Callithrix jacchus: one gene and its partner. The protein of the gene in region 2 interacts with the protein of the main gene of each other region in a biochemical or structural test. Links are inferred from orthologs where the notes say so. Each region holds a gene or a part of one and is shown on either strand. Other genes may lie near its edges. The genes, in order: TGFB1 and DCN.

Region 1 (3,819 bases), on a different chromosome or scaffold from region 2:
TGCGATAAGCCACTTCTGCTCAATGGGTGGAAAATATATTTCCTCTTCCTTATGATTGTCTTAAGTACGTTTTCTTTTCTCTATCTTATTTTTAAAATACAGGATATAGGCCAGGAGTGGTGGCTCATGCCTGTAATTCCAGCACTTTGTGAGGCTGAGGCAATCAGATCACCTGAGGTTAGGAGTTCAGGATCAGCCTGGCCAACATGGTGAAACCCCATCTCTACTAAGAATACAAAAATTAGCCAGGTGTGGTAGTGTGTGCCTGTAATCCCAGCTACTTATGAGGCTGAGGCAGGAGAATTGCTTGAACACGGGAGGCAGAGGCTGCAGTGAGCCGAGATTTTGCCATTGCACTCCAGACTGGGTGACAAGAGTGAAACTTCTCAAAAAAAAAAAAAAAAAAAAACACCAAAAATACAGGACATAGGCCGGGAGTGGTGGCTCATGCCTATAATCCCAGCATTTTGGGAGGCTGAGGCTGGTGAAACCCTGTTGCTTAACATTTCCTCTGTTCCTGTCTTTCTATAAAACTGTTGGGATCTACAGTCCTGATCGGAGTTGCCTTTTTTTTTCATAGACAGGGTCTCGCTCTGTTCTGAAGTGCAATGGTGTGATCCCAGCTCACTGCAGCCACAACCTCCTGGGCTCAAGCACTCCTGCCTCAGCCTCCCAAGTAGCTGGGACTACAGGCACACACCACCCAGCCCAGCTAGTTTTTTGGTATTTTTTGTGGAGAGACAGGGTTTTACCATGTTGCACAGGCTGGCTTGGAACTCCTGGAACTCCTGAGCTCAAGCGATCTGCCTGCCTCAGCCTCCCAAAGTGCTGGGATTACGGGCATGAGCCGCCGCACCCGGCCTTCAGGTTTCACTTTTTGGCAAGACTTCCTAGGCAACGTTGTGTCCACCCTACGGAGGCTCACATGGCTGGCTGGCTCCTATGTCATGTCAGCTGCTGTTGGCACTCGAGACCTCAGTTTGCTCCTTCACAGGGTTGCTGGGCTGATGGCGCTAAAATCTGATAGGGAAGGAGTCTGGGAGCAGGGCTGATTTTCCGGCAGAGGAAAAGCAGGTGACAAAGCCCAAGACACCACCAAAGTATTTTAAGCAGGGGAGGAATGAGGTCAGATGATCACTTCCATTTTACCACATTCTAACTCTCCGTTTCAACTTTCTAGGAATCCAACATTTCAGCTTTCTTAGAGTGCACGGTTAGTATTCCAGCATCTTCCGATGCTAACATGCTGACAGCATTTTCAACTCTCCAGGATTCCTACTTTCCAAACTTTGAGGATCTTGGCATTCCTGACTTCCAGTATGCCAGTACCGCATCCCGACATTCCACAGTTCCGAGCCCATCACTCAAGAGGATCAAGCTAACACTTTCCTTTTTTTTTTTTTTTTTTTTTTTTGAGATGGAGTTTCTCTCTTGTTACCCAGGCTGGAGTGCAATGGCGCGATCTTGGCTCACCGCAACCTCCGCCTCCTGGGTTCAGGCAATTCTCCTGCCTCAGGCTCCTGAGTAGCTGGGAATACAGGCACACGCCACCGTGCCCAGCTAATTTTTTGTAGTTTTTAGTAGAGACGGGGTTTCACCATGTTGACCAGGATGGTCTCGATCTGCCGACCTCGTGATCCACCACCCACCTCGGCCTCCCAAAGTGCTGGGACTACAGGCTTGAGCCACCACACCCGGCCTTTCCTTTTTTTTTTTTTTTTTTGAGGTGGCGCAATCTCAGCTCAGTGAAACCTCTGCCTCTCAGGTTCAAGCGATTCTCCTACCTTAGCCTGAGTACCTGGGTAGCTGTAATTCCAGCTGAGTAGCTAAGATTATAGGTACCCACCACCATGCCCGGCTAATTTCTGTATTTTTAATAGAGATGGGAGTTCACCATGTTGGCCAGGGGTGGTCTTGAACTCCTGACCTCAGGTGATCTGCCCACCTTGGCCTCCGAAAGTGCTGGGATTACAGGCATGAGCCACCCGGCCTGCTGCCACTTTCTATTCATAAATTCCCAGCATTCTAAGATTCTAACATTCCAGCACTGAGTCACAGCATGCTGGAATACCAATATTCTGGCTTTCTCCAGCTCCTACATTTGTGGGTGTGAATATTTTAAAACAGAATTCTACCAATGTGAGCCCAATATTCAAAGATTCCAGTCTGCCCACACTGGGATGCACATGAGGAATGGTGTAGGAATTCCACATGGGCCATCTTCTCATTCTGCACCCCCAAATTATAGGATCCCAGTGTTTCATCTTTCCTTCAGTCCAACATTCTCCATTTCAGTAATTAACACCAAGTTCTAGCATTCTAGACCCTCAACCTACTAACAAATTAGGGATCCAAGATGGTGACCTTCCAACTTTATTCCACCATTCTCAGAGTTCAGCTTCCTAAGGTTCTGTGATTCCAACACTCCAGCAAGAAAGCAACCTGATCCCAACATTCCAAGACTCCAACTATTTGTTTGTTTTTTGTTTTTTGAGACAGTCCCCACTCTGTCGCCCAGGCTGGAGTGCGGTGGTGCGATCTCGGCTCACTGCAACCTCTGCCTCCCAGATTCAAGTGATTCTCCTGCCTCAGCCTCCCAAGTAACTGGGATTACAAGCGCCCGCCACCATGCCTGGCTAATTTCTGTATTTTAGTAGAGACGGGGTTTCACCATGTTGTCCAGGCTGGTCTCAAACTCCCCACCTCAGGTGATCCGCCTGTCTCGGCCTCCCAAAGTGTTGGGATTACAGCCTCCCAAAGCCCGGCAAAAGACTCCCGGTTCTTACACCCTAGACCCCATCCCCTAAGCCCTTCAAGCTTCAGCTCTAGCCCTCCCTTTAGGAGAAAGACGCTCAGCCCAAGCACAGCATCAGCCAGGTGTCCAACCTGGAGCACCAGGTCAGCAGATGGCAGTCATGCCCGCAGCCTAGAAGGCCTCTATCCAGGCTGCAAGGTTCACCTGAAGCAGTAGTTGGTGTCCAGGGCTCTGCGGTGCCGGGAGCTTTGCAGATGCTGGGCTCTCTCCAGCGGCGTGGCCATGAGAAGCAGGAAAGGCCGGTTCATGCCGTGAATGGTGGCCAGGTCACCTCGGCGGCCAGTAGAGAATCCTGCTTTGGTGTGGGAGTCAGAGGATAGGGGACATATACAGACATCTCAGAGGGACAGACGGGTGGGGCGTGGGGCAGATGAGGACACACACATGCACACAGATCACAGCTGGGCATGGCCAGGGAAGTGGGTCTTACCGTTGATGTCCACTTGCAGTGTGTTAACTTGGCTGTCACAGGAGCAGTGGGCGCTAAGGCGAAAGCCTTCAATTTCCCCTGTAGCAGTGGGAAGAGGGAAGCCAGTCTGTGGGTGTAGCTCACCCAGTCCCTGGAGGAAGAGGAACGAAGGAGCAAACCCCAGGGGGTTCCTTCCTGCCTCCCCTGCCCACCCTGCTCTGTCCTCTCTGCAGCTCTCTTGCTTCATTTATTTATTTATTTATTTGAGACAAGGTCTTGCAGCCTCAACCTCCCAGGCCCAAGCAATCCTCCCACCTCAGCCTCCCAAGTAGCCAGGCCTGTGCCACCATGCAAGACTAATTTTTTTTTTTTTTTTGAGACAGAGTCTGGCTCTGTTGCCCAGGCTGGAGTGCTGTGGCACGATCTCGGCTCACTACAACCTCTGCCTCCCAGGTTCAAGCAATTCTCCTGCCTCAGTCTCCCAAGTAACTGGGATTACAGGCACACGACACCATGCCTAGCTAATTTTTTGTACTTTTAGTAGAGATGAGGTTTCACCATGTTAGCCAGACTGGTCTGGAACTCCTGACCTCAG
Region 2 (4,404 bases):
TCCTGGCCGAGGGCAGTGGCTCATGCCTATAATCCCAGCACTTTGGGAGGCTGAGACGGGTGGATCACTAGGTCAGGAGTTCAAGACCAGCCTGACCAACATGGTGAAACCTCATCTCTACTAAAAATACAAAAATTAGCTGGGCATGGTGACACACGCCTGTAATCCCAGGTACTCAGGAGGCTGAGACAGGAGAATTGTCTGAATCTGGGAGGCGGAGGTTGCAGAGAGCCAAGATCGTGCCAGCCTAGGTGACAGAGTGAGACTTCGTCTAAAAAAAAAAAAAAAAAAAAGGGAAATGTAGGTTCTCCAAATTTGTTTTGTTTTGTTTTCAAAGTTATTTTGGCTATTCTGGTTCTTTTGCATTCCATATAAACTTTAGGATTAACTTGTTCATTTCTGGAAGAATATTCTTGTAGGGCTTTGATTGTTTTGAATCTATAGATAATGACTATATTAACATTAAGCCTTCCAATACACGAGGATTATTTATATCTTCTTTTCTTATTCTCAACAGGTTTTGTCATCTTTAGCATATATGTCTTGCAATTCTTTTACTACATTCATTTTTTTCATTCTTTTTGATGCTGTTTTGAATGATTAATTTTTTTACTGGTGTGCTGCTAATGTACAAAAGTATAATTGATGTTTATGTATTGAGCTATCCTAGTACTATGCTAAATTTGTTTTTAGTTATAGTGATTTTTGTGAGTTCCTTTGGATATTCTATATTCAGGATATATTATTTACAAATAGCTTTAATTATTTTATTTGGATTCTTTAAGTACACCACTCTGCCCCCAACCCACCCATTACATTGGCTGACATCTCCAGTGCAATGTTGAATGGAGGTAATGAAATTAGACATCTTTGCCTTATTTGCTAGTTTAGGAGGAGGAAGCATTCATTGTACCATTAGTTATGATGCTAGCTATAGGTCTTCTATAGATGCTTTTTATCAAGTTGAAGAAGTTCCCTTCTGTTTCAGGCTTACCAAAAACACTTATTATGAATGTTGTTGTTTTTTCTTACATGTTTTTCCTGCATCTATTGAGATAATCATGTGAGTTTTGGCCTTTATATTTTTGATATACTGTATTACATTGATTGATTTTCACATGTTAAACTAATTTTACAACCCTGAGATAAATCATGTTTGGTCTCATAGTATATGATCGTTTTACATGTTGTGAAATGTAGCTTCCTAATATTTTGTTAAAGATTTTTTTTGTCCCTATGCATAAGAGATATTTGATTACAGTTTTCTCTTCTTATGATGAATTTTGTCTGGCTTTAGTCTTAGAAAATATTGATCCCATAGAATGAGTTTCGAATCTACTTTTATTTTCTTTACACAGGCTAATACTTATGTCTTGATATTTTCTTCTCTTGTTTTCAATGTTAGCCATAAGTGCTCACCAAACACCCCTTCCTTTACTTGCTGGAACATAGAGGATAGTAAGTGACAACAAGAAACTCAAAATTTGAGACTCATAAACCATGCATATAAGTGTTGCTTTCACTTGAATATTCCTTGTTTCTGTTTTTATATGACATCTACTAGTTTGCTTTTAAACCCTTACAGAAACAAAGTCATTTTAACCAGCACATAAATGTGAATGTCCTAGGAGGTAGAGCAATGTTTCAAGTTATTTTTAAGGGAGTACTTCATAGGTTTTATAGCTCACTTTAGACCTTGTTGTCTTAGTGTTATATTCTAACCTAGCTTGTATGATTTTGGATTCGTTGCTTCAGAATTCATATCCTCAGAGTGGAAGTGTAAACTTATTTCTAACATTCTTTGTATAAGTCTGATATTTAGTGACCCTAAGAAAATCTATGGACAAATTACCATTATCTTAAACATGATTGTAAAACATAATTCAGAAAAAAATTATGATTTATTATATAGCACTATATTCATTGAGTAAAATGTATTACATAAAATCCACATTTGTTAAAACTTCTAGGTTTAACAAATTTATTCTAAATGCTGTGATATTTAAATATTTAAGTACTTTTTGGAGTTTGTGATTATTTCAATTCCAGTACTTTATACCCGCTTTTTCTTTTTCACTACATAGCACTTTCTCATTCTGTATAATTTTGTTAAAAGGTTTATATATTTTTACCCTGAAACCATAATGTTTCATGTAGGCCCAATATAGTTATGTAGACCTGGTATATGAAATAACATTTATTCATTCAACATGTATTTATTGAACACCTGCTCTGTTGTAGTACTGGAAATGCAGCCATAAACAAGCAGAACCATTCCTATCTCATGGAGCCTTTACTTTAGAGGAGAGAAACAAACAATAGCAAATACGCATAATATGCTACATATTGATAATGCTATGAAGAAAAATGAAGAAATTTAATATAATTCTGCCCCAGAGAATGGCAGAATGGGGTGGTCAAGGAGGGTATCTCTGGTAAGAAAAAGTGAATTACATGAGGCAGCAAGCTTTGACGATGCTTTAGAGATCATTCTAGGTTGAGTAAATGCTGTTGATAACTTAAGAAGAGATCATGCTTTGTGCGTTAGAAGAGCAGCAAGTAGACCAGATGATTGGCTTGTACAGTAAAGGAAGAGGTCAGAGTAAAAGGATATTAGATCATGTAGGATGTGTAGGCCCCTGTAAGAACTTTGGATTTTATTATTCTGCATAACACAAAAAATAGGCGGGCATGGTGACATGAGCTTGTAGTCCCAGCTACTCAGGAGACTGAGACAGGAGAATAGCTTGAACTTTGGAGGCAGAGGCTGCAATGCACTGGGGTCACACCACTGCATTCCAGCCTGGGTGACAGAGCAAGACTTTGTTTCAAAAAAAAAAAAAAAAAGTGAAGGATAAAAAATATTAAAAAGAATAAACTATTCAGCTGAAGGGCCTCAACATTTAGAGAATAACAATTATTGTTTTATGTTGCAGGTTGTCTACCTTCATAACAACAATATCTCTGTAGTTGGATCAAGTGACTTCTGCCCACCTGGACACAACACCAAAAAGGCTTCTTATTCGGGTGTGAGTCTTTTCAGCAACCCGGTCCAGTACTGGGAGATACAGCCATCTACCTTCAGATGTGTCTACGTGCGCTCTGCCATTCAGCTCGGAAACTATAAGTAATTCTCAAGAAAGCCCCCAATTTTATAACCTGGCAAAATCTTGTTAATGTCATTGCTAAAAAACAAATAAAAGCTAGATACTGGAAACCTAACTGCAATGTGGATATTTTACCCACATGACTTATTATGCATAAAGCCAAATTTCCAGTTTAAGTAATTGCCTAAAATAAAAAGAAATTTTGCCTGCCATTTTCAGAATCATCCTTTGAAGCTTTCTGTTGATGTTAACTAAGCTACTAGAGATATTCTTATTTCACTTAATGTAAAATTTGGAGTAAATATATATGTCTATATTTAGTAAAGCTTTTCTTTTTTAATTTCCAGGAAAAAATAAAAAGAGTATCTTCTGTAAATCATTGAGCAGTTAGCTCCTTTGAGATAAAGTCAAATGTCAATCACTAGCTCTGTATTAACCCCCATTATTACTGGTAAAGCCTCATTTGAATGTGTGAATTCAATACAGGCTGTGTAAAATTTTTGCTACTGTCATTATTTTGAAAAAATAAATTTAAAAATACATTCAAAATTGCTATTGTATACAAGCTTAATTGTAAACATTCCCTAAACACAATTTTATGAAGGGAGCAGACATTGTTTGTTGACAATAACAGTACATCTTTTCAAGTTCTTAAGCATTTCTTCTACCTCTCCCTGTCTTTCATTTGAGTATGGTCATCTGTTTAATGTAAGCTTAAAAGCACAAAGCATACATTTCCTGATTGGTCTAGAGAACTGATATTTCAATTTATTCTTCTGCTAAATAAATATTAAAACTATCATGTGTACTTCATGTAATCAGGCTGCACATTTCTACAATTACTAGATACATTAGACATAATTATTTTCTTTAGTTAAACACCCAATGTTAGAAGTGTTTTCTGTAGAATTTAGCAATAGCTATCAATGCATACAATTTAACAAGCCTGGGGATGATTTACTTAGAGTAAACATTTATCAAATTGTACATTTATGATATCAATGATTAATAAGCAAATATGTGAAAATAGTTTTCTATGAAGTTGAATGTTTGACAGTTAAAAATCCTATCAATTGTAGTTTCATATGGCAAATAGTAATTGAAATACTACAGGATACATTTAAATAATTTATTAAATACAGCAAATAATTGAAATATGATTAGAATACATTTTATCACAGAAATACATGCAGTTATAGTAGTGGCTCACATGAGAGGTGATCAGTTCTGCTAATAGTAGCAGACTGAGTACAGTGAAACATCAAAACTTGAGGAGATAGCAGTTGAGGTGAATTTC

Evidence for each region.
Region 1: the proteins of DCN (region 2) and TGFB1 form a complex in vitro, tested with the Homo sapiens proteins (3 studies listed by BioGRID). The link is inferred for Callithrix jacchus from reciprocal best matches to the Homo sapiens genes DCN and TGFB1.

What each region holds. Positions count from the first base shown.
Region 1 is NC_133523.1:36,619,851-36,623,669, forward strand, and holds part of TGFB1 (transforming growth factor beta-1 proprotein), read right to left. Parts: intron 3,324-3,819; coding exon 3,246-3,323; intron 3,111-3,245; coding exon 2,960-3,110; intron 1-2,959. UniProt on the Homo sapiens protein: Transforming growth factor beta-1 proprotein: Precursor of the Latency-associated peptide (LAP) and Transforming growth factor beta-1 (TGF-beta-1) chains, which constitute the regulatory and active subunit of TGF-beta-1, respectively.
Region 2 is NC_133510.1:89,998,292-90,002,695, forward strand, and holds the end of DCN (decorin), read left to right. Parts: intron 1-2,936; coding exon 2,937-3,131; 3' UTR 3,132-3,656; downstream 3,657-4,404. UniProt on the Homo sapiens protein: May affect the rate of fibrils formation.